Elephas maximus indicus: one gene and its partners. The protein of the gene in region 2 purifies or fractionates together with the protein of the main gene of each other region. This does not show direct contact. Links are inferred from orthologs where the notes say so. Each region holds a gene or a part of one and is shown on either strand. Other genes may lie near its edges.

The links.
Region 1: the proteins of EIF2AK2 (region 2) and ZNF346 purify together in Homo sapiens (affinity purification with mass spectrometry; 3 studies listed by BioGRID and IntAct, with this or other methods). This does not show direct contact. The link is inferred for Elephas maximus indicus from reciprocal best matches to the Homo sapiens genes EIF2AK2 and ZNF346.
Region 3: the proteins of EIF2AK2 (region 2) and ADAR purify together in Homo sapiens (affinity purification with mass spectrometry; 3 studies listed by BioGRID and IntAct, with this or other methods). This does not show direct contact. The link is inferred for Elephas maximus indicus from reciprocal best matches to the Homo sapiens genes EIF2AK2 and ADAR.
Region 4: the proteins of EIF2AK2 (region 2) and STAU2 purify together in Homo sapiens (affinity purification with mass spectrometry; 3 studies listed by BioGRID and IntAct, with this or other methods). This does not show direct contact. The link is inferred for Elephas maximus indicus from reciprocal best matches to the Homo sapiens genes EIF2AK2 and STAU2.

What each region holds. Positions count from the first base shown.
Region 1 is NC_064820.1:197,308,989-197,315,953, forward strand, and holds the start of ZNF346 (zinc finger protein 346), read left to right. Parts: upstream 1-3,948; 5' UTR 3,949-3,987; coding exon 3,988-4,141; intron 4,142-4,237; exon of another isoform or gene 4,238-4,428; intron 4,429-6,965.
Region 2 is NC_064844.1:27,162,883-27,170,597, forward strand, and holds the start of EIF2AK2 (interferon-induced, double-stranded RNA-activated protein kinase), read left to right. Parts: upstream 1-4,700; 5' UTR 4,701-4,998; intron 4,999-7,311; exon of another isoform or gene 7,312-7,464; intron 7,465-7,715.
Region 3 is NC_064821.1:192,457,829-192,465,102, forward strand, and holds the start of ADAR (double-stranded RNA-specific adenosine deaminase), read right to left. Parts: upstream 3,016-7,274; 5' UTR 2,786-3,015; coding exon 2,756-2,785; intron 1-2,755. UniProt on the Homo sapiens protein: Catalyzes the hydrolytic deamination of adenosine to inosine in double-stranded RNA (dsRNA) referred to as A-to-I RNA editing.
Region 4 is NC_064833.1:68,282,222-68,289,908, reverse strand, and holds the start of STAU2 (double-stranded RNA-binding protein Staufen homolog 2), read right to left. Parts: upstream 3,010-7,687; 5' UTR 2,958-3,009; coding exon of another isoform or gene 2,940-2,957; intron 232-2,939; 5' UTR 183-231; coding exon of another isoform or gene 177-182; intron 1-176. UniProt on the Homo sapiens protein: RNA-binding protein required for the microtubule-dependent transport of neuronal RNA from the cell body to the dendrite.

The DNA of each region.
Region 1 (6,965 bases), on a different chromosome or scaffold from region 2:
TTTTTTTTATATACACATGGACCTCGCCAGATGGAAATCACAGGAATCAAATTGATTACATCTGTGGAAAGAGATGACGGAAAAACTCAGTATCATCTGTCAGCACAAGGTCAGGGGCTGACCGTGGAACAAATCATCAATTGCTCATATGCAAGTTCAAGCTGAAGTTGAAGAAAATTAGAATGAGTTCACTAGAGCCAAAGTACAACCTTAAGTATATCCCACCTGAATTTAGAGACTATCTCAAGAGTAGATTTGACTCATTGAACATTAATGACTGAAGACTGGACTAGTTGTGGAATGACGTCAAGAACATCATACGTGAAGAAAGCAAGAGGTCATTAAAAAGACAGGGAAGAAAGGAAAGACCAAAATGGACATCAGAAAAGACTCTGAAACTTGCTTTTGAAAACAGAGTAGCTAAAGCAAATGAAGAAATGATGAATTAAAGGGCTGAACGGAAGATTACAAAGGGCAGCTTGAGAAGACAAAGTAGAGTATTATAATGAAATGTGCAAAGACGTGGAGATAGAAAACCAAAAGGGAAGAACACACTCGGTGCTTCTCAATCTGAAAGAACTGAAGAAAAAATTCAAGCCTCAAGTTGGAATAGTGAAGGATTCTATGGGGAAAATACTAAACAACTCAGGAAGCATCAAAAGAAGATGGAAGGAAAATACAGAATCACTGCACTAAAAAGAATTGGTCGACATCCAACCATTTCAGGAGGTAGCATATGATCAAGAATCAATGGTACTGAAGGAAGAAGCCCAAGCCAAGACATTTGGAAGATAGATACCTGGCCAACTGACTGGAAGAGATCTATAATTGTACCCATTCCAAAGAAAGGTGATCCAGCAGAATGCAGAAATTATCAAACAATATCATTAATATCACATACAAGTAAACATTTTGGTGAAGATCATTCAAAAGCAGTTGCAGCAGTATATCAACAGAGAACTGCCAAAAATTCTAGCCAGATTCAGAAGATAATGTGGAATAAGGGATATCATTGCTGATGTCAGATGGATCTTGGTCGAAAGCAGAGAATACCAGAAAGAATACATGTGTTTTATTGACTATCCAAAGGCATTTGACTGTGTGGATCATAACAAATTATGGGTAACATTGTGAAGAACAGGAAGTCTAGAACACTTAATTGTGCTCATGAGGAGCCTCTACATAGATCAAGACGCAGTTGTTCTAACAGAACAAGGGGACACTGTGTGGTTTAAAGTCAGGAAAGGTGTACGTCAGGGTTGTATCCTTTCACCATACCTATTCAATCTGTATGCTGAGTAAATAATCTGAGAAAGTGGAATGCGGCATCAGAATTGGAGGAAGATTAACAACCTGCAATATGCATTAGACACAACCTTGCTTGCTGAATGTGGACTTGAAGCACTTACTAATGAAGATCAAAGACCACAGCCTTCAGTAGGGATTACACCTCAACATAAAGAAAACAAAAGTTCTCACAACTGGATCAATAACAATAAGCAACATCGTGATAAATGGAGAAACTATTGAAGTTGTCAAGGATTCCATTTTACTTGGATCCACAATCAATGCCCATGGAAGCGGCAGTCAAGAAATCAAACGATGTATTGCACTGTGAAAATCTGCTGCAAAAGACCTCTTTAAAGTGTTAAAAAGCAAAGACGTCACTTTAAGGACTAAGGTGCGCCTGGTCCAAGCCATGGTATTTTCAATGGCCTCATATGCATTTGAAAGCTGGACAATGAATAAGGAAGACAGAAGAATTACTGATGCCTTTTAACTATGGTGTTAGCCAAAATGTTGAATACATCATGGACTGCCAGAAGAATGAACAAATCTGTCTTGGAAAAAGTATAGCCAGAATGCTCACTAGAAGCAAGGATGGCAAGACTTCATCTCACATACTTTGGACATGTCATTAGGAGGGACCAGTCCCTGGAGATAGACATCACACTTGCTAGCGGGTCAGTGAAAAATAGGATCCTCAGTGAGATGGATTGACACACTGGCTGCAACAATGGACTCAAGCATAACAATGATAGTGAGGATGGCGCAGAACTGGGCAGTGTTTTATTCTGTTGTACACAGATAGGGTCACTATGAGTAGTAACCGACTCGACGGCATAACGAACAAAACATATGCATGCAAAAGCTGTATAATGAATAAGGAAGACCAAAGAAGAATTCATATGCCTTTGAATTATGGTATTGGCAAATAATATTGAATATACCATGGACACCAGAAGAACAAACAAGCCTGTCTTAGAAGTAGAGCCAGAGTCCTCCTTGGGGGTGAAGATGGCGAGATTTCATCTCACATATTTTGGACAAGTTATCAGCAGGGACCAGTCCCTGGAAAAGGACATCACGCCTGGTAAGGTAGAGGGTCAGCAAAAAAGAGGAAGATCCTCAGCAAGATGGATTGACAGAGTGCCTGCAACAAGGGGCTCAAACATAGCAACGACTGTGAGAATGATGCTGGACCTGGCAACGTTTTGTTCTGTTGTACATGCCGTCTCTATGAGTTGGAGCCGATTTGACGGCACCTAACAACAAGGCTCTGGGCCAAGCTCTATTTCAAGGTGATGAGGATTCAGCTGAGAACAAAATAAAGAAACACCCTTTCTTCCTTGAGCCTTGCCTTTTAGTGGGGAGACAATAAACAAGATAAAAAGTAAAATATATACTATGTCTAATAATGATGTGTTAAGGAGAAAAAAAAGCAGGAAAGGTGGACATGAAGTGTGGATAAAGGGGTAAAATTTGAGATAGGGTAGCCAGGGGAGAAATTTTTGGTAGTGTTGCTGTTGTTAGCTGCCATCAAGTCAGCCCAGACTCATCACAACCCCTGACCATTGAGCTCTATGGAGTTTTCATCGGCTAATCTTTAGAAGTAGATCACCAGGCCTTTCCTCCTAGTCCGACATAGTCTGGACTGAATCCTGTTCAACATCATAGCAACACACAAGCCTACACTGACAGCTGGGTGGTTGCACCATGAGGTGCACTGGCCAGCAATCCAACGCAGGTCCTCAGCATGGAAGGAGAGAATTCTTAGGTAGGGTAGCCAGGGAAAGAAGCGGGGAATTGCGCCTTGAGACCATCTGGGGGAAATGCATTCCAGGAGGCCAGTGTGATCCCGGTAGAAATGAAGGAAGTGTAAGCTGAGTAACAAAGGAAATGAGGCCAGGGAGGGTAAGGGAGTCAGATTGTGGAGGACCATGTTGGTCAAGGTAAGAACTTTGGCTTTGATGAAGTGTGAGATGGCAGCCATTGGAGGATTTGCACAGAGGAGTACTATGATCGTTGCTACAAGAGGAACCCTGGACTGCTGGGTCCTTGATGGCCAAGAAAAAGAACAGTGAGGAGCCTACTGCAATAATCTAGGCAAGAGTTGGTGGCTCCAGAAGATGAGAGGAGGAGCAGGTCTGAGGTTGGAAGATAAAATTTCGGATTTGGACAGTTACGTTGGAGAAGTAGGCAACTGGATGTAGAAGTCTGCAGTTCAGGGGAAGGTCTAGGCTGAGGAACTCGACATATTAGCAGTAATCGAATCATGGAGATAAAGCCACGGCTCTACCACTTCCTAGTAGCACTCTTGATTAAACCAATTCCTGGTTCTGGGCCTCAGTTTCTCTACCAGTAAAGTGGGGAAAATATTTCCAGATAACAGGGCGTTCGTGAGAAAGAAATGCGAGTGCTAAAGGCTGACCGTAGGCAAGGTGAGGACCCAGAGCCACGGGTCGCACGTGCCCTTCCCGTAGAGAGAGGCTGCTGTGGCCCCGGACACCGGCTTGCCTACCGACAACCAATGCTCCCAGGTTCCAGTAGCAGCACAGAATAAAGGTGCCACACTGGGCGCCGCGACGCGGTCTGCGGCACCCAAACCTCGCGAGATTTGTTGGCCGGGCATAGTGGCCCTAGACCCACATCTCGCGAGACCAAGGCGCGTGAGTGGCTCTCGGCCGGTTTGGGCTTGCGGGAAAGATGGAATATCCCACGTTGGGCACCGCGGAGGCCGCGGACGGCGGAGGGGCCGGGCCGTACAACAGCTCGGAGGAGCGGGAGGGCCGGGAACCGGACGGGGCGCGCCGCCTGTGGGAAGCGGTGTCCGGGGCCCAACCTGCGGGGAGGGAGGAAGGTGAGTCCAGGAGCCTCAGAGGCAAGAAGCCCGTCACCCGCCTGCTCGGCCCGAGGTGTGTGGCGGGAGCGCCTGGCGGACCGCGGACCACACTCGCGGGTCACAGTCACACCCCCTGGCGCCCGGCCCGCCCCCTCGCGTGACGCGCGCGGTGACTCCGGGGCTAGTGTTCCTCACCACGGCCGAGGCACCGTGAGTCCCCTCCCCCGAAAATCAGGGCCGCGGCACCCCAAGATTCAGGCCCCCGCGTGCAAATCATCAAGGACCTTCTCACCCTCTGGCCACAGGTTTTGTCCCCGCCCTCTTCACCTACCTGAGCGCCGCTCTTCCCTAGACGTTTCCCAACATACCTGCAGCGAAGCCGAGTACCCCTCACCATCTCTCCCTGACTCCCCACCATCCCAGTTCCCAGTCCCCCCACCCTTAGTGTCTCTCGTCTTTCTCCTCTCAACCCCCACACTTCCGAGGGCTCTGAAAAATATCTGCTTTCTCTTTTTGTTCTTTCTGGCCTTGGCGACAGCCCTGGCTTACCCCTGTTTCTAGATGTCCAGCGTCTACTGCTGGGTTCCTTTTCTGAGATGGGAGCCAGAAGCCTGAGAAACTGGCTTAAATTTGCTTTGACCCCAGCTTCTTTGGAGCCCACCGCCCTCTGCAGCGTCAGCTAGGTAGTTCTACCCAGCTGTACTCAAACCATCTGGGCTTCTGTGCAAATCCCGCCAGGTATCTGCAGGGAAATTAGGTTTCTCTAATAGTTTGCTTGCTGAGCAGACTAATCTTAGAAAATTTAATGAATTGTTTGTGAACTGATTGCTTTGAGATAAACATAAATTTTTGACCCTATCCAAGGCAGATATGTTTAAATTTGAGGTGATACACAGACTCTACCCTGGTGTGTACTTCTTCAGTTTAAGAACAAGTTTAGTCTGACTTCCAAATTAAGATGTGTAGCATCTCTGTGTTCCAACTCATGCTTTCAAACTTGTTTGGTACAAAGTAACTCCCCTCCTAATTTTCTTTTAATTTGACAAACATTGGCTCATGCCTGCTCTGTTCCTAGCAGTGGCTGGGCATCAGAACTACAAAGATGAGGAAGGTACTGTCCTTGCCCTGGAGAGGCTGCAGTCTAGTCCACCAAGCAGACACCAAAACAGTTTTAAAATGTGTAATGGTGCAGTTTGGGGGAGCACAAACAGGAAATGACCTTTGGTCTAGGGGGAAAGGGAGGGCGTGCTCTGGACCTTGAAGCACTAGGTCTGAAAAGTGAACTGTGTATGTGTGCATGAATGTGCAGTGTTACTTATGACCCAGTCCATCCTCCTATTGTCAGTTCTCCCGTATTTGTATAAGGTCCAGGTAGATAATCTGCTACACCAATTTCTACTCACTTTGGTTGTTTTTGTAACAGCTTTATTGAGTTATAATTTACATACCATAAAATTCACCATTGTAATTGTACAATTCAATGATTTTAGTAAAAGTGTAGAGTTGTGTAACCATTACATCAATCCCGTTCTAGAAAATTTCCATCACTCCACATCACTCCTTTGCAGTAAATTCTCACTCCCACCCCCGCCTTAAAAAAAAAAAACCACCAAACCGGTTGTTGTGAGCCAATTCCGACTCATAGCTACCCTATAGGATGGAGTAGAACTCCCCTAAAGGGTTTCCAAGGAGTGGCTGGTGGATTTCAACTGCCGACCTTTTTTTTGATTAGCAGCAGTAACACTTAACCGCTACGCCACCAGGGCTCCCCCCTGCCTTGGGCAACCACTAGCCTGTTTTCTGTCTCTGTAAATAATTTGTCTTTTGGAATCATACAATGTGTAGTCCTTCGCATTTGGCATCTTCTCCTTAGCATGTTTTTGAGGTCCATCCAAGTTGTAGCATGTATTACTGCTTCATTTCTTTTTAATGCTGAATAGAATCCATTATATCGATAGACCATATTTTGTTTATCCATTCATTAGTTGATGGACATTTGGATTGTTTCCAGTTTGATTTTAGGACCCCTCACGCCCTTTGCACCATCAGAGTCTAATTGTGAATAATTCTGGTATCAACATTTGTGTATGAGTTTTTGTGTGGATATATGTTTTCATTTCTCTTGGGTGTATACCTAGGAGTGGAATTGCTAGGTCATATGGTAACTCTCTTGAACATTTTGAGGAACTGCCAAACTGGTCTAAAGTGAGGACGGCCCTGAGTACCCAGAACTTGCAGGTGGTATCTGAAGGTAGGGCAGTCTTGCAGTCTGTTCTCTCAGACTTTGCAGTTCGGCAAACTCCATTGCAGTTGTCTAAACTCATGTAGTCAATGATAAAAGGGCCGATGCATCAGGAAGATATAAAAATTATTAATATTAAAATTATTAAACATTGTTAATGGCATCACAATGTATGTGGGGTCCAGTTTCTCCACATCTGCACCCACACTTGTTATTATCATTATCTTTATTATAGCTATTCTGCTGAATGTGTAGTGATATCTCATTGTGGTTTTAATTTGCATCTTTGTAAAGACAACAAATATTGAACCTCATTTCATGTGCTTATTTCCCATTTGTATATCTTTTCTGGTGAAAAATATATTCAAACCTTTTGCTCATTTTGTAATTGGGTTTTTTGTCTTCATATTTTTGAGTTGTAAGAGTTCTTTATGTATTTGGATGCAAGGATGTGATTTGCAGTTTATTTTCTCCCAAACTGTGGCTTTTTTTTTTTTTCCATTTTCTAAATGGTGCCTTCTGAAGTGTAAAAATTTTAAATTTTGATGAAATTCAATTTATCAATATTTTCCCTTAGGATTATGCTTTTGGTGTCATATC
Region 2 (7,715 bases):
AGCTGGAGAAAAGTGCAGGACAAAATTCTAATTCACAAAATAAGACCAGACTTCTCCAGTCTGACAGAGACTGGAGAAACCCTGAGAGTAAGGCCCCCAGGCACCCTTTTAGCTCAGTAATAAAGTCACTCCTGAGGTTCACCCTTCAGCCAAAGATTAGAGAGGCCCACAAAACAAAACGAGACTAAATGGGCACACCAGCCCTGGGGCAAGGACTAGAAGGCAAGAGGGGACAGGAAAACTGGTAATAGGGAACCCGAGTTTGAGAAGGGAGAGTGTTGACATGTCATGGGGTTGTTAACCAATGTCATAAAACAATGTGTGTACTAACTGTTTAAAGAGAAGCTAGTTTGTTCTGTAAACCTTCATCTAAAGTACAATAAAAAAAAAAAGTGAAATTAAAAAAAAATTCCCAAAGCCCACTCTTCAGATAAAGATTAGACTAGGTTATAAAACATAAAATAATACTCATGAAGAGTGTACTTCTTGGTTCAATCATACACTAAACCAAATGGGGGGAGGCAGGATGAAAAAGCAGGAAGGGACAGAAACTGGTTGAATGGACACAAGAAAGCTGGGGTAGAAAGGGGGAGTGTGCTGTCACATTATAGGGATTGCAACTAATGTCACATAACAATATGTGTATAAATTTTTGTATAAGAAATTAACTTGAGCTATAAACTTCCACCTAAATCACAATAAAAATAAGAGTTATGTTTATACTGTAGTCTTTTTTTTCTTTTTAGTCTATTAGGATCCCTGGTGGTGCAGTAGTTAAGAGCTTGGCTGCTAACCAAAAGGTCAACAGTTCGAATCCAATAGCCACTCCCTGGAAACCCTATGGAGCAGTTTTACTCTGTCCTATAGGAGCCACAACAGTTTTGCAACAGTAGAACTTTCAAAACTGAAGACAACCCTCTCAAACCCTGCTGCTGCTTTACTAAGTCTATGTAACAGTCTAAATCCTTTGTTTTCAACAATGGTCACAGCATCTACACCAGTAGCAGATTCCATCTTCAGAAATCACTTTCTTTGCTTATCCATAAGAAACAGCTCCGCAACCACTAAAGTTTTATGAGATTACAGCAATTCAGTCACATCTTCAGGTTCCATTTCTCATTCTAGTTCTCTTGCTATATCCACCACATCTGTAGTTACTTACTTCCTCCACTGAAGTCTTGAACCCCTCAAAGTCATCCAGGGGTTGGAATCAACTTCTTCCAAACTCCTGTTAATGTTGATATTTTGATCTCCTTCCATGAATCATGAATGTTCTTAATGGCATCTAGAATGGAGAATCCTTTCCAGAAGGTTTTCAATTTACTTTGCCCAGATCCATCTTAGGAATCACTATCTAGAGCAGCTATACAGCCTTATGAAATACATTTCTTAAGTAATAAGACCTGAATGTCAAAATTACTCTTTGATCCATAGGCTGCAGAATGGATGTTTCGTTAGCAGACATGAAAATAACATTAATCTCCTTGTACATATTCATCAGAGCTCTTGGGTGACCAGGTGCATTGTCAATGAGCAGTAATATTTCAAAAGGAATCTTTTTTTCTGAGCAGTAGGTCTCAACAGTGGACTTAAAATATTAGTAAACCATGTTGTAAACAGATGTGCTGTCATCCAGGCTTTGTTGTTCCATTATAAAGCACAGGCTGAGTTGACTTAGCATAATTCTTAAGGGCCCTAGGATTTTCAGAATGGTAAAAGAATATTGGCTTCAACTTAAAGTCACCAGCTGCTTTAGCCCCTAACAAAAATGTCAGCCTGCCCTTTTATGCTTTGAAGCCAAGCGTTGGCTTCTCCTCTCTAGCTATGGAAGTCCTATAGGGCATCTTCTTCCAATACAAGGCTGCTATGTCGACACTGAAAATCTGTTGTTTAGTGTCGCCGCCTTCATCAATTATCTTAGCTAGGTCTTCTGGATAACTTGCTGCAGCTTCTTCAACAGTCTTTGCTGCTTCACCTTGCACTTTTATGTTATGGAAATGGCTTCTTTCCTTAAACCCATGAACCAACCTCTGCTAGCTTCAGACTTTTCTTCTGCAGCTTCCTCACCTCTCTCAGCCTCCATAGAATTGAAGAGAGTTAGGGCCTTGCTCTGGATTAGGCTTTGGCTTAAGGGAATTTTGTGGCTGGTTTGCTCTTCTATCCAGACCACTAAAACTTTCTCCATATCAGCAATAAGGCTGTTTCGCCTTCATGTGTTCACTGGAGTAGCACTTTTTTGGGGGGGGGGGGCGGTTATTTTCTTTTTTAGCTTTAGAGAGTTTTTGTGTGTGTGTGTGTGTGTGTGTATGCTTTAGCTGAAAGTTTACAGCTCATTTCAGGTCCTTATTCAAAAATGTATACATATATTGTTTTGTGACATTCTGATGTTTTGTCACAAGTGACAACACTTTCCCCCTTTCCACCTCGGGTTCCTTGTGTTATTTGTCCGTTTTTTTTGTCCCTTTCTGCCTTCTCATCTTGCTTTTGGACTGGTGTTGCCCATTTGGTCTCAGGTATCTGAACTAAGAAGCACGTTCCTTACATATGTTATTGTTTGTTTTATAGGCCTGTCTAATCTAAGAGCTACAGCTGCTTACCAAAAAAAGGTCAGCAGTTCAAATCCACCAGGTGCTCCTTGGAAACCGTATGGGGTAGTTCTACTCTGTCCTACAGGGTCGCTATGAGTCAGAATCGACTCAATGGCAACAAGTTTGGTTTTTGGTTTAATCTTTGTCTGAAAAGTGGGCTTCAGGAGTTGTCTCAGTTCTGAGTTAACAGAGTGTCCAGGGGCCGTAGTCTTGGAGGCTCCTCCAGTGTCTGTCAGACCAGTAAGTCTGGTCTTTTTTCATGGGTTTGAATTTTGTTCCACACTTTTCTCTCCACTGTGTCCGGAACTCTCTGTTGTGATCCCTGTCAGAGTGGTTGCTGGTGGTAGCTGGGCACCATCTAGTTCTTCTGGGCTCAGGCTGGTGGAGATTTTGGTTCATGTGGTCCTTTCATCCTTTGGGTTAATATTTTCCTTGTGTCTTTGTTTTTTGTTTTTTTTTCTCATTTTCCTTTGCTCTGGATGGGATAGGACCAATAGATTACTGCTCACAAGCTTTTAAGACCCAGACGCTACTCACCAAAGTAGGATGTAGAACATTTTCTTTATGAACTGTGTTATACCGATTGACCTAGATGTCCCCCGAGACCATGGTCTCCAGCCCCAGCCCCAGCAACTTAGTCCCTCAAGGTGTCTGGATATTGGAGTAGCACTTTTAATCTCCTTCAAGAACTTTTCCTTTGCATTCATAACTTGACTGTTTGGTGCAAGAGGCCTAGTTTTTGGCCTATCTCAGCTTTCAACATGCCTTCCTCACTAAGCTTGATCATTTCTAGCTTTTGATTTAAAGTGAGAGACATCTGAATCTTCCTTTCGCTTGAACACTTAGAGGCCACTGTAGGGTTATTAATTGGCCTAATTTCAATATTGTCAAGTCTTAGGGAATAGGAAGGCCTGAGGAGAGGGAGAGATGGGTAATGGCTGGTGGAGAGCACACAACATTTATCCATTAAGTTCGCCATCTTATATGGGTACAGATGGTAGCACCCCAAAACAATTACACTAGTAACATCAAAGACCATCATAACAGATATAAAATAATGAAGAAGTTTGAAATATTGCAAGAATTACCAAAATGTGACACAGAGACGCAAAGTGAGCACGTGCTATTGGAAAAATGGTGGCGACAGACTTGCTCAATGCTGTGTTGCTACGAACTTTTAATTTGTAAAAAAAAAAAAAAAATGCTATATCTGAGAAGCGCAATACAAGGAAGTATGCCTGGGTTTGCATTTTGTTAGCAATGTTTCAGCTTCTCTTTTGGTAGCTCCTTTTTGTGTCTAGTCTTCAGCAATATTTTCTAAAGCGTCTAGAATATAAATGTACGATTCCAAGATTGTACCTGTTGCTACAGCATGTGCTTCCCAATGCGTATTAGAAAGACATTTTAATACTCCATCATCGCCTAAATATGTTTTAAGAATCGCCCATCAGTGAGTAGAGGTGACAAAGAATGTATAGGGTAACTGAACAGTAGGAAAAAACCCAACTGCTTCTGAAAGAGAAAGATGTCAAGAAGGTGTTTAAGTGGAACAAAAACAAAAACAAAACGAAACCTCATAATTTAAACAGCCTTGCCACGTGTGCGGCTCCCTCATGACGCTGTGTGAACTGACTGGCACAGTCTCATGCCCTGGAGCTGGCGCCCTGCTGGTTCCCTTCCACTGCTGCGCTCGCTTTTCTGTATGTCCTGTCGCTTGGCATCTACGGGTCTTTGCTTTGGACACCTGGTGCCCCTGTTTTGTTGACATCCTAAACATGTGCTTACCTTGCATATCGGGTAATCAGTCCCTGGAAGGATGAGTGGAAACAGACTGAAGGGAAATTATGTCCCCAGGCCTCTTCATTTCCAGCTTTGTAGGCATGAGAGAGAGCCAGTAGTGTTGGAAAGGGGTGCTTTGAGGTTTACTGGCCTGGATTTGAATTGCACTCTGGCGTCGCCACTTACCAGCGGCAGGACCCCGGGGTGTTAATTTACAGTTTCTTCTACTGTAAAATGGAGCTGATAATATCCACTTGCCCACCGCCACCAAAGCCAGCCAAAATGTTTGCGTGGAGGAGTTAACTGGGATCTCTGATCCCAGACGAGTGCCTGGCACCGCTGCTGGCGCCTGGGGACCTTGCGTCCTCCCCTTTGCCTGGAGGCCTTCTCTCCACACTGGGGCTGCCCCTGCTGCCCAGCCCGCCCCGCGGCGTCCCCCGCAAGCCTGCGGGTGGAGGCGCCAATCTCCCCCAGCCCGGAACTCATGCGGACGTGTGCGGGCACGCGGCTGGCTAGGCCGCCGCAGAGGAAGGCGGGGTTCGCCGGGAAAACGAAACTGAGAGCAAGCTGTTCAGACACCGCAGAGCTTCAGCGGACAGCAGCAGCGCGGGCTGAGCGGAGTCGTCAGGCGGTAAGGCCGGAGCAGCGGGCACGGGGCGAGCGCGGGGGCGGCCGGGCAGGCGGACAGCGGGGCGAGCGCGGGGACAGGCGGGGGGCCCGGCCCGGCGGCCCGGCCCGGCGGCTGGGCGGAGGCGCGCGCCGATCCCGCGACCCCGCCGGGAATGCAGACCCTGGTACGAGGCCCCCGGAGCCAGCGCCGGGAGAGCGGTCAGAGCCCCGCCGCGGTTGTGCGGGGCCCTTCCCGGATGTGGGCTGAGGGTCGTGGAGCGCGGTGAGAATTTTTATCAGAGCGATTCATACATCGCTCCCAGGCCGGCGGAGGGGGTGAGGATAGGCCCAACGACTTGACATGGGGAATGTGTGGAGGCCTGAAGTAGCCACAGCTTGATTAATAGTCCGTGGGTAGAAATCTCCTGCTTAGACAGTCACGGTGGTGTCCCACCCGCTAGCCCGGCACCTGCTCCGCCTCTACCTGACCCGCTACCTCTTCTCAACACCGCTATCAGAGTGTTCTGTAAATCAGAGCCAACTCTCACCTGCCAGGTACTCCCCCACTGGCTTCCCTTCTCATAAGAATCCTGTCTTCAGGCCTTGTCAGGGCCCACAAACGAGCCCTCTCGCTCCCTCCACACAGCGTCCTCGCTGTTACACTGCTGCGTTTGGGTCTTTGCACTGTTTCCGCTTTCGCCCCTCCCCGCCCCATACCTGCATGGACCAGCTCCTAGCTTCATCCTGTGCTTCCTCAAATGCCACCTTGTCAGAGAGGCCTTCCCTGAACACTGTATGAAAACACCACCACCCTGCCCGTCTTATCCCCCTCTCTCTCCTGCTGGCTTACTCTGTCACTCTTACTCTTCTGTCTCCCTTACTCTGCTTTGTTTTTCACCATAGAACTTATCACACTCTGATACTTATTATAAGTTTATTATCTGTTCCTCTACTAGTAAATAAGTCCACAAGAGCAGGGACTTATGTGTTTTTTTCACTGGCATAACCTCAGTGCCAGGTACATAATAGATGCTCAATAAATATTTGTTAAATGAATGGTAACTCATCAGTTCTCTTTTGAATTCCAGAATAATGAGATATCCTCTTGCTCATGTTCTCCTTAGTGCTAAGAACACCTTGCCAGAATGGAAGCTAAAAGATACACTCTCAGCTGTCAGTTAGAAACTATTTAATCTTGGACAGATTATACTCTTGTTCTTCATTTTGCCTCTTTGAACCAGAAGATCCATAACACTCAACCTGTAGTTTAGTCATTTATTAATTAGGTATTATTTGAATGCATGTTATAGGCCAAGCATTGTGCAGACTCTGGAGGTGGTCTGGTCTACGGAGGGCTCCCAGTTTGCTGGCAGGGAAGGTGGGCATAGCCAAAGAAACTTCTGGACATGAATAAGAGGGACAGATAATATTTGTTAGTCAGTATGGTGGAGATCTCCTTTCTGAAAATGATAACATAGAATTAAAACCAGATTTGTCAAAGATAATTAAAAAGAAACCTATTTCCTTGCTTCCAAACTCAAAAGTACTGTTTCAAACATACCAGTGCAGCACTTTATTAGTTTACATATACATTCATGTGTTCACGCATGTTCAAACTGGTTGTACTGAGGATTTGGAGCATTCTATAGGACTTTAGAGTATAATTGCCAGGGGCTCTCTTGTCACTGCAGTTCTGAGATCTGTGACCCCTTCAGCTGGATATGTGGCCTCATGGTCGTGACTAACTAAATGACACGTTGGTTCCTGAAAATAATGGTGCAGTTCACAGTCCCTTATTCAAAACCCTTGGGCCAGATTTGTTCCAGAATTCAGAGATTTTTGGATTTTAGAAAGGCAATGCAGTGTAAATACTACTTATTATAGAATGCCCTTGGAGGGATTTGGGGCGGTACCTCATAATAAAACATATTAGTATTTCTGCAGTGACAAGTTATATAGGTAACAAAGTATAATAGAGACTCTAAATGGCTCATGACTGTTCAGGTCAACACAGGTAGCTCCAAACCTACCAAAATGAATAAATTAACAATAAACAAACAAAAACCCCTAGTTATCAGAACTATTTGGAGTTTGGGATTGCAGACCTGGTATACCCTTTTGAGGCCAGTTATGTGGGTGGGGTGGGGGATTCTGCTAAAGACTTTATATCTGACTTATTCCTCATGACAATCTTGCGAATCAGGCATTTTTATTCCTGTTTTCAGATCATGAGTCAAAGGCCCACAGAGGTGTCTAGTCCAGGTCTGTGTCGCTCTAATGCCTAAGCTCTTTCTCCAATTCCAGGCTGTAATGTGAATGTGCTTCCTTTTCTCAGACTCTAGGGACTTCCAGTGCCCTGCTTCCAGCTACCACTGTCTGTCACCTAAACCACTGCAGGAGCCTCACGTGGTCTCCTTACTTCTACTCATGTTCATGCCCCACGCCCATACTCTGTTCTTCACCAGCATCAGAGAGATCAGTCAAAAACGTAAGTCAGATCACATCACCCCTCTTCTTAGAGCCCTCCAGTGGCTTCCTACTGCAATTAGAATAACAGCTGGGTACTGACCATGTTATTCTGGAGCAATAAGCAACATCATGATAAATGGAGAAAAGATTGAAGTCAAGGGTTTCATTTTACTTGGATCCACAATCAACACCCATGGACGCAGCAGTCAGGAAATCACATGACGTGTCGCCTTGGGCAAATCTGTTGCAAAAGACCTCTTTCAAAAGTTA
Region 3 (7,274 bases), on a different chromosome or scaffold from region 2:
CATGTAAATATGAAACACACACACACACACATATATATATATATATTTTACTTCAAATTATGGCACACATAGATTGCAGTATATCTGAAAGGTGATTAACAATATTGATCCTAGAAATTATACTGAACTCTCTACTCCCAATACATGCAGTACTGATGGGGGGCTGCAATGGACTCCAGAGCGAGCCCTGCAGGGGCAAGGACTATGCTTCCACCACCTTTGCATCTCCAGCACCTGAGAGAACACCTGGTACAAAGTTGATCGTGAACCACCACTAGTGGCTGCATAAGCAGTCACATCTTGCCGCAGGCAGCACACCCCCCCATGACGCTGGGGGCAGAGCTGTGAGTGCGCAGAGTGAGTGCCCGGCTCACAAAGCTGAATTACTGCGACTATAGGGGTCTTCTGACTAGCTCTTTGAGTGGCCCTGGGAAAAAGAACTCTGTTTCAAAGTGTCTACAGTCATTTCTGAGTCGCCCTGGTGACGCAATGGTTAAGTATTTGGCTGCTAATCCAAAGGCTGGTGGTTCAAACTCACCCGTGGCTACAGAGCAGACTGACCTGATGATCTGCTCCTGTGAAGATTACAGCCTAGAAAATCCTACAGGGAAGTTCTACCCGGTAACACATGGAGCCGTTACAAACTGAAAATTGACTCAACAGCACTAAACAATGACAAAGCCAGTTTCTAGCTAATGCTTTCTAGATTTCAACTGGTACCACTTGGCTAAAACCTGGAAATACATGAATGTGCCTCTATAGAAAAGGAGTTGAAAATTATGATACATTCATGCTATGGAAGAGTATTCATGGTTTTTTTTAAGTATGTTAGATCTATTTGTACTAACCTGGAGGAAATTTAGGAATGATATAATGTTAAATGGAACAACAAAAACAGCAAGTTGCAGAGTAACATATATGTTATAACCTCTTTTTTTCTGGTAAAGAAAAGGAAAGAACCCATGAATGTGTGTGTATGTATGTCTCATAATGAACACAAAGAAACAGAAGAGGGGAAGGCACCATGAGTTTGTTAACAGTGGTTGTTTTAGGGAAGTAGGATTAGGGGAAGAGGGAATCATTAATATTTTCTTTACAGCCCCTAAACCCACTGCCACTGAGATGATTCCAACTCACAGCAACCCTGCAGGACAGAGCAGAACTGCCCCATGGAGTTTCCAAGGCTGTAAATCTTTATAGAAGCAGACTGCCACAACTTTCTCTCGCTTATGCCCCCAATACCCCCTAAAAGCCAAGCCAAACCAAACAAACCACCACATGAGAAAAGCCATCTGGATACACAGTGAATGCAGGTGAGAAGAAGAAAGTAGGAAATTCATGGTGATCATTCCTAAAGCTCTCAACAGCTCCCCTCTTCCACTCCACATCTATTTACTACGCAAACTAGGTGACCGTCATTTAACATTCAATGTCCACTCAATTTCACTTTAATTTGGTCTCACATATTTAGGATCAAGAGATGAGCCCCCATGGTTACCACACAGGCTCCAAATGGTATACATGAAGAAATTCTTTTCCTTCAATTTAGGCCCTGGTGGTGCAGTAGTCAGGACTACAGCTGCTAACAAAAAGGCTGGCAGTTTGAATCCACCAGCTACTTCTTGAAAACCCTATGGGGGCAGTTCTACTCTGTCCTATAGGGTCTCTGCCCTATAGGGTCGCTATGAGTCGGAATCGATGGCAATAGGAATTCTTTTAAGGAGTCCCTGGGTGCTGCAAATGGTTCATGCACGTGGCTGCTAACCAAAAAGTTGGGGGTTTGAGTCCACCCAGAGGTGCCTCAGAACAAAGGTCTGGCAATTTACTTCTGAAAAATCAGCCACTGAAAACCCTACGGAGCACTGTTCTACTCTGACATATTGGGTCACCATGAGTCAGCTTTTTAAAAACTATAAGAATAATTTACATACAGTAAAATTGACCTTTTTTAGTGTACAATTCTATGGGTTTTGGTAAGCACCTATAGCCTTAGAGCCACCGCCATAATTAAGACAGAGAACACTTCCATTTTCCCCACTTTGCTGTGGATTCCCTCCCCACCCCGCCCCGCCCCTGGCAACCACTGATCTGTTTTCTGTTCCCATCCCATAGCCAGCTCTGCTTTCTCCAAAACGTCTCGTAAATGGAATCACACAGTATGTAGCCTTTGGAGTCTGGCCCCTTTTGCTTAGCTACGACACTTGAGATTCATCCACGGTGTTGCCAATACAGTAGTCTGTTCCTTTTTATTGCTGAGCAGTACTCCATTTTTGTTTGGATGCTATCCCAGTTTATCACTTCAGCTGGTGAAGGACAATTAGTTTTTCCAGTTTTTAGTAATAATGAATAATGCTGCTATAAACTTTCTCCTACAGAGCTACTTATAATTTCCCCCAAACCCTTCAGGAGGTGGAAAAACAGGCAGGGGCAGCAAAGGGACCTAGAGACAATGAGAAGGGGGTGTTTGCTTTCACGTGACCTCAGGCTGGCTACTCAGACTTGGGCGCATTTTCCACACAAGCGCTCCTCCGCACTTCGCTCAATGCAGCAGAGTACTTAGCATGGTACAAATTCCTAGAACGGCAGTTTTACTCAGCAAGAAAAAGAGCAAAATGAAAACACTTTAAAACAACACGCATATGTCATGGACTAAAGCACCAAATTCACGTGATGTTTTAGGGCCAGTCCAAGGCTCCAGAGACAGGGTCCCCTTCTGGAGCGATCCCATGGGTCTGTGTGGCCGGTCGCCGCTCACCTGTCGCCAGATCACCTGTCGCGGGTCCATCACGCCGCCCCAGGCATCCCTTGCCTGCCAGCCGGCAGCACGACCCTCCTCCCCCGGGCTCAGCCTTGCAAACCTCTGGGAGCGGCAGCGGCCCGGGCTCCCAACTGCTGTTTCACGTAAGCAAGGGGCACCTGGGGGCCGTTGGGACAGGAAATACCTCTCGGGGCCAGCCCTGAGAGCAGGGCCGCAACTACGAAAATGGCTCCAGTTCAGTTTCGCTTTCGTTTCCTCAGAAAGACTTCCCCTTCGGAAAGTTTGGCCAAGAGGAGGAGTTTAGGCAAATCTAGTGTGAGCCCTCCGCTTTCACGGCGCCGGCGCCGATTACAGATCTGATCCCTTTCTTGCGTAAGAGTGGGGAACGTATTATTTCTTTAGGAAAACAGCTATAAATACAACTTCACTGAGCTCATAATTCCCCTCACAGCCCTCTCAGGAATACGTGGGATAAAGCAGAAGGAAAACAAAGACACAGTGAAGCCTCAGCACTGGAGAAGCAGCGTGAGGCTCTGCTCGCCGGTCTCCCTGTCGCGGCGTTAATGTGATGATGCCTCTCTCAAGGTAAAAGGGGGCGGGGAGCACAGCTCTTAAATGACTAAATGTCCCGGTCATAGACTATCTATTAACATTCCTAGCGTATTAGAAACTGAGGTAAAGGGATACCAGCCAGTAATAGTAAAAAAAAGTAGCAAGGTAATAATAACAGCAGTGTACAATTTGGGATCTATATTATAAAATTATCTCAGGCCACCAGCACGATTCATCTATTCAGGCAAGAGTTAAGTACTTTACATGCGTTATCGCATTTAGTCCTCACAACAGCTCTACTGGGGAGGCATTATTCCCATCTTACAGATGTGGAAACAGAGGCTTGCCTAAGGCCACACTGCTGTTACGTCCAGGTCAGACTGGGGAAAGCCTACCGTTCACCACCACTCTCCATTCGTCCCAGTTACACCATTGTTTAAAAAACAAAAACAAAAACTAGCGTTTAAATTATTTCAAATTCCATGTCATAATACCCACTTTTGTTTGTTATTTAGAGGAGAAAAATTCAATTTATTTCATGATCAGGTTTATATAACTGCTCTAGTTTGTTCAAGATGTTTAGGAAAAAATTCTACAGACAATCCCAGTTACCTGTGAGAAATTCATTTTTCTGTTTAATCTCAATTTTATCCCCACTGCCTATGAGGTTTACAAGGCAGTTCCTTCACAGCATCATCTGCAGCTGAGCCTTTCTCCACTGCCCTCTCATTCCTTCCACCCTGTTACCAACCAACCAACCAAGCAATCCCCACTGCCGTCTCATTTCATCTACCCAGTTACCAACCAACCAACCAATCTCCACTGCCCTCTCATTCCTTCCACCCTGTTACCAACCAACCAACCAAGCAATCCCCACTGCCGTCTCATTTCATCTACCCAGTTACCAACCAACCAACCAATCTCCACTGCCCTCTCATTCCTTCCACCCTGTTACCAACCAACCAACCAAGCAATCCCCACTGCCCTCTCATTTCATCTACCCAGTTACCAACCAACCAACCAATCTCCACTGCCCTCTCATTCCATCTACCCAGTTACCAACCAACCAATCTCCACTGCCCTCTCGTTCCATCTACCCAGTTATCAACCAACCAACCAATCACCACTGACCTCTCATTCCATCTACCGAGTTACCAACCAGTAGCCATGGAGCCAACCTGGTCTGTGTGGGAGGAGAGCTATGCTCCAGGAGGTTTTCAATGGATGTCATCTTTTGGAAGTGGATCGCCAGGCCTTTCTTCTGAGGTGCCTCTGGGTAGATTGAAACATCCACCTTTCGGTTAGTAGCTGAGCATGTAACCATTTGCACCACCCAGGAATCCAGTCCACCCTGTTAGTCATCCCAAATTTCAAATTTCTCAGTAGGCCATACTCTCTCCCTTTTGTGCCTTTGTCTGCCTGATTCCTTGGACTAGAAAATGTACTCCCTCTACTGCTTCTGGTGAGCTCCTAGTAGTCTTTCAAGACCTGCTTCAACTCTTACCTCCTAGTAAAGCCTTCTCCCCCTCTGGTAGGGGGTTCCTTATGTTGTGCTTCTCTGTTATTCAGCACTTACCCTTAACTAGAGCACCTACATATTCCACTGAAACTGCCTCATTCGATCATTTAACAAAACTTTATCAAGCATTGATGCAGAAAAGGCATTTGACACCCATTCATGATTAAAAGTCTCAGCCAAATAGGAATATAAGGAAAATTCTTCATCATAATAAAGGGCATTTATACAAAGCCAACAGCTAACATCATCCCACATGGAGAGTGTCTGAAAGTATTCCCCTTGAGAACGGGAACCAGAGAAGGATGTCCTTTATTACTACTCTTATTCAACATCGTGCTGTAGGTCCTAACCAGAGCAATTAGGCTAGAAAAAGAAATAAAGGGCACTCAGATTGTAAGGAAGAAGTAAAAGTATCTCTATTTGCAAATGACATGCTCTTATACACAGAAAACCCTAAAGAATCCTCAAGAAAACTACTGAAATAGAAGAGTTCAGCCGAGTATCAGGATATAAGATAAACATACAAAAATCAGTTGGATTCCTCTACACCAACAAAGAGAACATTGAAGAGGAAATCACGAAATCAATACCATTTATAATAGGCCCCAAGAAGATAAAATACTTAGGAATAAATCTAACCGGAGACGTAAAAGACCTATACAAAGAAAACTATTATAAGACACTACCGCAAGAAATCAAGAGACTTTACATAAGCGGAAAAACATACCTTGCTCATGGATAGGAAGACTCAACATGTAAAAATGTCTATTCTACCCAAAGCGATCTATAGATACAATGCAATCCTGATCCAAACACCAGCGACATTTTTTAATGAGATAAGAAACAAATCACCCACTTCAATGGAAGGGAAAGAGGCCCCAGATAACTAAGGCATTACTGAAAAAGAAGAACAAAGTGGGAGGCCTCATGCCACCTGATTTTAGAACATGTTATACCACCACAGTAGTCAAAACAGCCTGGTACTGGTACAACAACAGATACATAGACCAATGGAACAGAATTGAGAATCCAGACGTAAATCCATTCATATATGAACAGCTAATATTTGACAAAGACCCCGAAGTCTAAGTGGATATCCATCTGCAAAAAAATGAAACAAGACCCATACCTCACACCATGCACAAAAACTAACTCAAAATGGATCAAAGACCTAAATATAAAATCTAAAACAATAATGATCATGGAAGAAAACATAGGGACAATGCTAGGAGCCCTAACACATGGCATAAACAGTATACAAAACATTACTAACAATACACAAACACCAGGAGAGAAACTAGGTAACTGGGAGCTCCTAAAAATCCAATGCCTATGCTCATCCAAAGACTTCACCAAAAGAGTAAAAGATTACCTACAGACCGGGAAAAAGTTTTTGGCTATGACAATTCCGATCAGCGTCTGATCTCTAAAATCTACGTGATACTGCAAAAACTCAACAATAAAAAGACAACCCAATTAAAAAATGGGCAAAGGATATGAACAGGCACTTCACCAAAGAAGACATTCAAGCGGCTAACAGACACATGAGGAAATTCTCATGATCGTTAGCCATTAGAGAAATGCAAATCAAAACTACGAGATACCATCTCACCCGTGGCTGACATTAATCCAAAAAACACAAAATAATAAATGTTGGAGAGGTTGTGGAGAGACTGAAAACACTTATACACTGCTGGTGGGAATATGAAATGGTACATCCACTGGAAATTGATCTGGTACTTCCTTAAAAAGCTAGAGCTAGAACTACCATACGATCCAGCAATTCCACTCCTTGGAATATATCCTAGAGAAATAAGAGCCTTCACACAAACAGATATATGCACACCCATGTTCACTGCAGCACTGTTTACAATAGCAAAAAGATGGAAGCAAACAAGGTGCCCATCAACATATGAATGGATAAATAAATTATGGTATATTCACATAATGGAATACTACGCAATGATTAAGAACAATGATGAATCCATGAAACATAACATGGAGGAATCTGGAAGGCATTATGCTGAGTGAAATGTCAATTGCAAAAGGACAAATATTACATGAGACCACTATTATAGGAACTCAAGAAGAAGTTTAAACACAGAAGAAAATATTCTTTGATGGTTACAAGGGTTGGGGGGGCGAGAGAGAGGGGTATTCACTAATTAGATAGACAAGAACTATTTTAAGTGAAGGGAAAGACAACACACAAATACAGGAGAGGTCAGCACAACTGGACTAAACCAAAAGCAAAAGAAGTTTCCTGAATACAACCGAACGCTTTGAAAGCCAGAGCAGCCGGGGCAGGGGTTTGGGGACCAAAGTTTCAGGGGACATCTAGGTCAATTGGCATAATAAAATCTGTTAAGAAAACATTCTGCATCCCACTTCGGTGAGTGGGGTCTGGGGTCTTAAATGCTAGCAAGTGGCCATCTGGGATGCATC
Region 4 (7,687 bases), on a different chromosome or scaffold from region 2:
ACGTAAAAATAAATTCACCGTGGCACTAACAATAGTATTAAAATCTGTGCAACAATAAGTGGTCGGTTAAATAAATTTTAGTACTACTAAACTATGAATTATTAAATCATTTCAGAAAATTATGTACTGTATAATCCCAGCTTTTTTTAATAACATATATTCACAGAAAAACATACCTGCATAGAAAAAATTCTAGAAGTATACACCCCAAAATGTTAGCAGTGATTATCTCTGTAAAAAAATAGTGGAATTATTTGATTTTTTTCTTTTTGCTTTATCAAAAGCACCTAATTTTTCTATAGTAAGCTGGCCTGTACATGGATAATGACATACATTCTTAATAGGCAAAAGCAAAATCGAGGATCACAATTTAAAGGTAAAAGTGCCACCATCCTAACAGAACAGGGAACATTCCCATGTTCCATAATAATGGTGTCAGACAGAGATAACATCAAACAAGACATCAACTTAGTATTCACTAGTCATTTTTAAGTAATTCTAGGAACATATATGGAAGAATCTGTTAATACTGGCATTGTAAGACAACAAAACAAAAGACCTCCCAAATTAAAATTCAGTACTATTTCTAAAGACAGTACTGAAAATCACACAGTAACAAATCTCAACTGTTGCCAGATGAGACCAAAAAAACTGCTGCCGTCGAGTCCATTCCGACTCATGGTGACCCTACAGGACAGAGTACAACTGCCCCACACAGTTTCCAAGAGGCAGCCGGTAGATTCGAAATGCCAACCTTTTGATTAGCAGCTGTAGCTCTTAACCACTACACCACTAGAGTGTCCTTCAAGTTGAGGGTCAGCTTAAATCACTTTTTCATGCCTTTTCACAATTATCTTGAGAACCCTCACTCTCATGAGGGATGAAACATATAGTCAGTAAAAAGACAGATTCCTTAAGTCATTCTAGAAATGCATATTATAAGCAATGTGTGCACATATCCAGGCACTACGTACAATTTCTAGCAAAGCTCAGGGAACTGCCTATGGCCATGCAGAATGCTGCCTAGGAACTGTTTGCCTGCTTCAATGTGACCTGTAACCTAGCCAGTTAGTAAATCTCCACTAGGACAAATCCATAAACTATAATTTTCAATGAACTGACTGGCATAAAATGAATGACCATTTCAAACTGTTTATGACAAAAAAAAAAATCAAACAAATGGTTCTACTTGTACCCATGTAATTATTTTGCAGTAACTTCACACCTATACAATACGGCTTGCATGTCATGTGTTATAAGCACCATACCCCTTGAAACCCATTGCCATTGAGCTGATTCCAACTCACAGCAACCCTGTAAGACAGAGTAAAACTGCCCCACAGGGTTTCCAAAGAGCAGCTGGTAAATCTGAACTGCTGACCTTTTAGTTACCAGCTGAGATCTTAACCACTGTTGCCACCAGGGCTCAACAAGTCCCATAGATGCTTCCAATAGGATTTAATAGCTGCTGTGAAGGTACAAGAAGCACTGAGCACACACAGTACAGCTTTAAGATTCCTTTAAGCCCGTATTAGCAATATCTTTGATGAAAGCAATATTGTTGCAGAAGAAAATTTTCTAGTAGAAGGAGAAAAATCAAAGAACTTCGCATAAGGGAGAGAGTTAATGTTAACAGTATTTGTATAAAGCAAATGTCACATAGTACCAAAACTGACAACACAACTCTGGTTATTGTTGAAAAAATGGAGATCTCCTTGCTTTACTGATAAGCCTAGCACCATTCCGCAAATTCAGGAAAACTATATCCAAAAACTGGACTAGGCCTGGGGACATAAGAGTAAACAAGCAAAGTCCCTGCTTTCGTGGAGCATACAAATCTAACACAGGAGACAGACATATTTAACGTATTTGAACGTAACTGCATATTCCATATGTGATGAAATAAAAAGGCGGGGTGATACAAGGGCATTTACTATCCTAGGTTTCGAGAATGGCTCCCTATAGAAGTGAGCCAAGCACAGGCAAGAGGAAGAGAGGTCCAGGCAGGAGTCATCTCCTGTGCAAAGGCCATGCAGCCGCAACAACCTTGGTCCAATCTAGGTTCTAAAACAGTCCAGTGTAACTAAAGCATTTACGTAGACTGTTTCTTAGCAAACATTAAGTGTGAGACGTATAAAGACATCCAAATTAAGAGATCAAGTTGGTAACTGCGATGTGAGTCTCGAGCTCAGAAGAGAAGGTCTAGACGAAATATAAACTTAGAAGTCACTGGCTTACAGATAGTGTGTGACACACAGGAACTGCGATTTAGACAAGGTGAACGAGATTGGGGGCGGAGGATTATTTCCTCAGATTACAGGGGGAAAAATTAATCACTTCTCTCTTGATTTGCAATCAAAGAAATAAAAGTATTTTCTAACATTATAGTTATGATATAATGGCATATTTATTCAGAAAGGATAAAATTAAATATATAAAGTTCTTGGAGAACTGCTAAGCCCTAAAACGATACTTCTTCCATTGAGTCTAAGGTATATCATATTATACAGTTTATTTAGCAGAGCATTTCCTTCTAGCCTTTTCTAGTGCCCTAGAAAAGGAAACTCTTTTTACCCACTGATACAACTACTTCACAAGATTTGTCACTAGAAATGCTTCCAGCCTGCAGAATTGGCACCTGCTAAAGCTGTATCACTATCACAGGCATTCTGAACACACCAACGAGTCCCACAAGAATGTGACCTCAAAAAGAATAAAACTTCTGCTCGCACACTCAAAAGTTAACATCTTTCAAGACCATCACTACAATCCTAAAACAGCCTGCCCTGTCCTGTATAGTCTCCTATGATGAAGATATGGTATGTAATTGCTCTAAAAAGCGGTGGTCAGGTTTGAGTTATAGAAAAGCTGAATTAAAATATTCTACAGTTTATGGCCAAAGCACCATATAAGCATGGCATGCCTTAATACAAACTCACCTGATTTATTTGAAGCATGTTAAGACAATATTGACCAAACTGCTATACCCCTCACGGCTCCAAAAACTGGAAAGTGAAAATGAAGAAATAAAGTTCAACTTAGTCAGTGACCTCAATGATTAGCATTTTAAACACATGCCCTTGATCAAAATCAAATATAAAATGGGAGTTGATACAGATCAGTATAGAACTTTCAATGATGATGGAAATAGTCTATATCTGTACTGTCCAACCGAGTAGTCACTAGCGACATGTGGCTACTGCGTTCTTGAAATGTGGCTCCCGCAACCAAAAAAGTAAATTTTTTAATTTATTTAATCTGAATTTGTTTAAATTTAAACAATATAAAGTATGTGGTTAGTGGCTACCATACCGAACAGTGCAGATTTAAATTGAACAAAGCCCCTTCTACCTCTAGAGTTTTAAAACCCAGCAAGAGTGAAGCTATTAAAAAAAAAAATCTTAAAATTTAGTGTAAACTCCCCTTGCTCTAGTTAGGTTTGAAACAACGTTGTTCCCATTCTCTATAAGACAAATTAAGCCTGAAGAAGATGCAACACCCGCAATGTTCTCTTTTTTAAAGAGCACATATAGTAAGATTACCTAGCTAGATTTTCTTTTCTTTTTCTCTAACTGTATACTTCTACTATTGTTATTTATAAAAATAGCATGCACATTAAAATTCAACACAAAATTTTCACCAAAAAATCACCCATAGTCTCACCACCCTGACATATATCCACTGTTACATCTGGGTTTGTTTCCTTCTGGGTCCAGCCCTTTCCTCCTGGTTTTATTTCTTTCCATGTGGTAAATCTCCTCTACACTTAACTCAGAAATACATGTTAAAGACGGGCAGGAAAACCCAAATCTTAAGTAAATAAAGTGTGTGCCCTTATAATAGGAAAAGTCTACACAAAATATAAATTATGTATAAATCCCCCAAAACATTATCTACAAAGCAACAACAGTCTTGATATACAGCAAAAGTGCTAAGTCCAAGCAACAAAGTATACATATTTATCACTGTGTAGAAATTTTTATGCTCTAAAATTTTCTCTTAGAAGCAAAGGTTCTTAAAATACTTGCGTGTGTGTGTGTGCCCATGCAAGAAATTTCAAGACATACACATACACACACACATATATATACATACATATCTGTATTACCACTTTCTGCAGATGACAAATTGGGGTCAATTCAAAACGACTATGCAGGCCCTCAGTATATTTCTTACAAGTGTCCTCTGTATCTGTATCAATTTTCATTTATTTTTTAATTATTTTCCCATTTTCTAATAGGAAGAGCACAAGGCATGGGTACCAGTGAATTTGAGTTTTAGTCCTAGCTCTTCAGGCAATTATGTCTTGAGCCTTGGTCACATTAACTTGTGTATCTGAGTTCTTAATCTTTCTCCTTGGTTTTTTATTTCTGTTTTGTTTAATCTTTAAAACGTAAAGTCCTTGTGGTAGGCAGCTCTAACGAATACAGTACAGCAGAAATAACGAGATACCACTTCCAAGATTAAATTATAAAAAGACTGTAACTTCCATCTTGGATACTCGCCCTTGCTTTTTCTGTTACTCACTCACTTGCTCTGAGGGAAGTTAGCAGCCATGTTGTGAGCTGCCCTCTGGTGAGACCCACGGGGCAAAGAACTCAGGGAGGCTTTCACAAACAGCCAGAAAGAAACTGAGGCCCTCAGTCCAACAGCCCACAAGCAGCTGAACGAATCCTGCCAATTGCCACATGAATGAGCTTCAGAGCGGACCTTCTGCCAGTAGAGCAGCAGATGAAACTGCAGCCCCAGCTAACAGCTTGACTCCAAACTCATAAGACCCTGAACCAGAAACACCCAGCTAGGCTCCACCCAGACTTCTAATTCACACAATAAATGTTGTTTTTAAGCCCTTAAATTCAGTAATAATTTATCATGCAGCAACAGTTAACTAAGACAATGCTGTTCAGCTCTATAATTGTATGTAATCCTACAGTGCTTTGTGCTGAAGCACTCACTCATCTATGCCAAGAAATGTAGAAGACAGCTACCTGGCCAACTGACTGGAAAAGATCCATATTTGTGCCCATTCCAAAGAAAGGTGATCCAATAGAGTGCGAAAATTATTGAACAGTGTCATTAATGTCACACACAAGTAAAATTATGCTGAAGATAAATTCAAAAACGGTTGCGGCAGTATATTGACAGGGAACTGCCAGAAATTCAACTCAGATTCAGAAGAGGACATGGAACGAGGGATATCACTGCTTATGTCAGGTAGATCTTGGCTGAAAGCAGAAAATACCAGAATGGTGTTTACCTGTGTTTTAATGACTATGCAAAAGCATTGGCTGCATGGATCATAACAAATTACAGATAATACTGCAAAGAATGAGAATTCCACAACACTTAACTGTGCTCATGCAGAAATGTACATAGACAAAAAGGCAGTTATTCAAACAGAACAAGAAGATACTGAGTGGTCTAAAATCAGGAAAAGTGTGTGTCAGGGTTGTATCTTTTCACCTTCCTTATGCAATCTGTATGCTGAGCAAATAATCCAAGAAGCTGGACTGTATGAAGAACACAGCATCAGGATTGGACGAAGACTCATTAACAATAACAACCTGCATTACGCAGATAACACAACTTTGCTTGCTGAAAGTAAAGAGAACGTGAAGCACTTACTGATGAAAATCAAAGACTACAGCCTTCAGTATGGATTACACCTCAACATGAAGAAAACAAAAATCCTCACAACTGGGCCCACGAGCAACATCATGGTAAAAAGAGAAAATACTGAAGTTGTCAAGGATTTCATTTTACTTGGATCCACAATCAACAACTATGGAAGCAGCAGTCAAGAAATCAAATGACGAACTCAAGAAAAATTTTAAACACAGAAGAAAATATCCTTTGATGATTACAAAGGTGGGGAGGGAGAGAGGGGTATTTACTAATTAGACCGTAAACAAGAAATATTTTAGGCGAGGGAAAGACAATACACAACACTGAGGAGGTCAGCACAACTGGACTAAACCAAAAGCAAAGAAGTTTCCTGAATACAACCAAACGCTTTGAAGGCAAGAGCAGCATGGACAGGGGTCTGGGGACCATGGTTTCAGGAGACATCTAGGTCAACTGGCACAACAAAATGTATTAAGAAAATGTTCTGCATCCCACTTCGGTGAGTGGCGTCTGGGGTCTTAATCACTAGCAAGCAGCCATCTAAGATCCATCGATTGGTCTCAACCCAAATGGAGCAATGGAAAATGAAGAACTCCAAAGAGACAAAGTAAGTATGAGCCCAAGAGACAGAAAGGGCCACATAAGCCAAGACTCCATCAGCCTGAGACCAGAAGAACTAGATGGTGCCCGGCTACCACCAACGACTGGACTGACGGGAAACACAACAGAGAATCCCTGACGGAGCAGAACAGTGGGATGCAGACCTCAAATTCTCATAAAAAGACCAGGCTTAATGGTCTGAAGCTGGAGGGACCCCAGAGGTCATGGCCCCTGGCCGCTCTGTTAGCCCAAGATTGGAACCATTTCCAAAGCCAACTCCTCAGACAGGGATTGGACTGGACTAAAAGACAGAAAATTATACTGGTTGAGGAGTGAGCTTCTTGACTCACATAAGACTATGTGGGCAGCTCCTGCCTAGAGGGGAGATAAGAAGGCAGGGGGGAACAGGACCTGGTTGAATGGACACAGGGAATACAGGGTGGAGAGGAGGAGTGTGCTGTCACATTAGAGGGAGAGCAGCTAGGATTACACAGCAAGATGTGTGTAAGTTTTTGTATGAACGACTGACTTGATTTGTAAACTTTCACTTAAAGCACAATTAAAACAAGAAAAAGAAAAATGTCGTATTGCATTGGGCAAATCTGCGGCAAAAGACCTCCCTGAAGTGTTAAGCACAGATGTCACCTTGAGGACTAAGGAGTGCCTGACCCAAGCCATGGTATTTTTAATCACCTCATACATATGTGAAAGCTGGACAATAAAGAGTAAGGAAGACCAAAGAATTGACGCCTCTGATTTATGGTGTTGACGAAGAATGACTGTACCATGGACTGCCATATGTCCTGGAAGAAGTACAGCCAGCATGCTCCTTAGAAGCAATGATGATGAGACTTCGTCTCATGTACTCTGGATGTGTTATCGGGAGGGAACAATCCCTGGAGAAGAACATCATGGTTGGTAAAGCAGAGGGTAGTGAAAAAGAAGACTCTCAACAAGATGGACTGACACAGTGGCTACAACAATGGGCTCAGAGCAACAACTGTGAGGATGGCACAAGACTGGGCAGTGTTTTGTTGTATTGTACACAGGGTAGCTATGAGTCGGAACTGACTTGACAGTCCCTAACAACAGTGCTTTAAGTATTAATGAACTTATTTCAACAAGCCAAAAAAATAAGTTTCCTGCTCAATCGGAGCAAATTAGTAACATTAAGAATTTGAAAGCCGTAAATTAAGAAACCTAAACATTTACATTTTCAATTCAAAATAGAGTGCAACATTATTCAAATGGTGTTAAAATATACTAGGTATAACTAACAATATAGACCCGACTGTCTCTTTTTTAATTGAAAATAATTTATTTGGAAGCTGAAGTGTGAATAAATCACTAAAAGCATTTCAGTGATTTATTTTTACTCTTTAGAATTCAACATTATTTAGATCTCAACAACTTTGAGAAACCCCTTTTGTTTTCACTTAATATAAGCCTCTAAATGTTACAA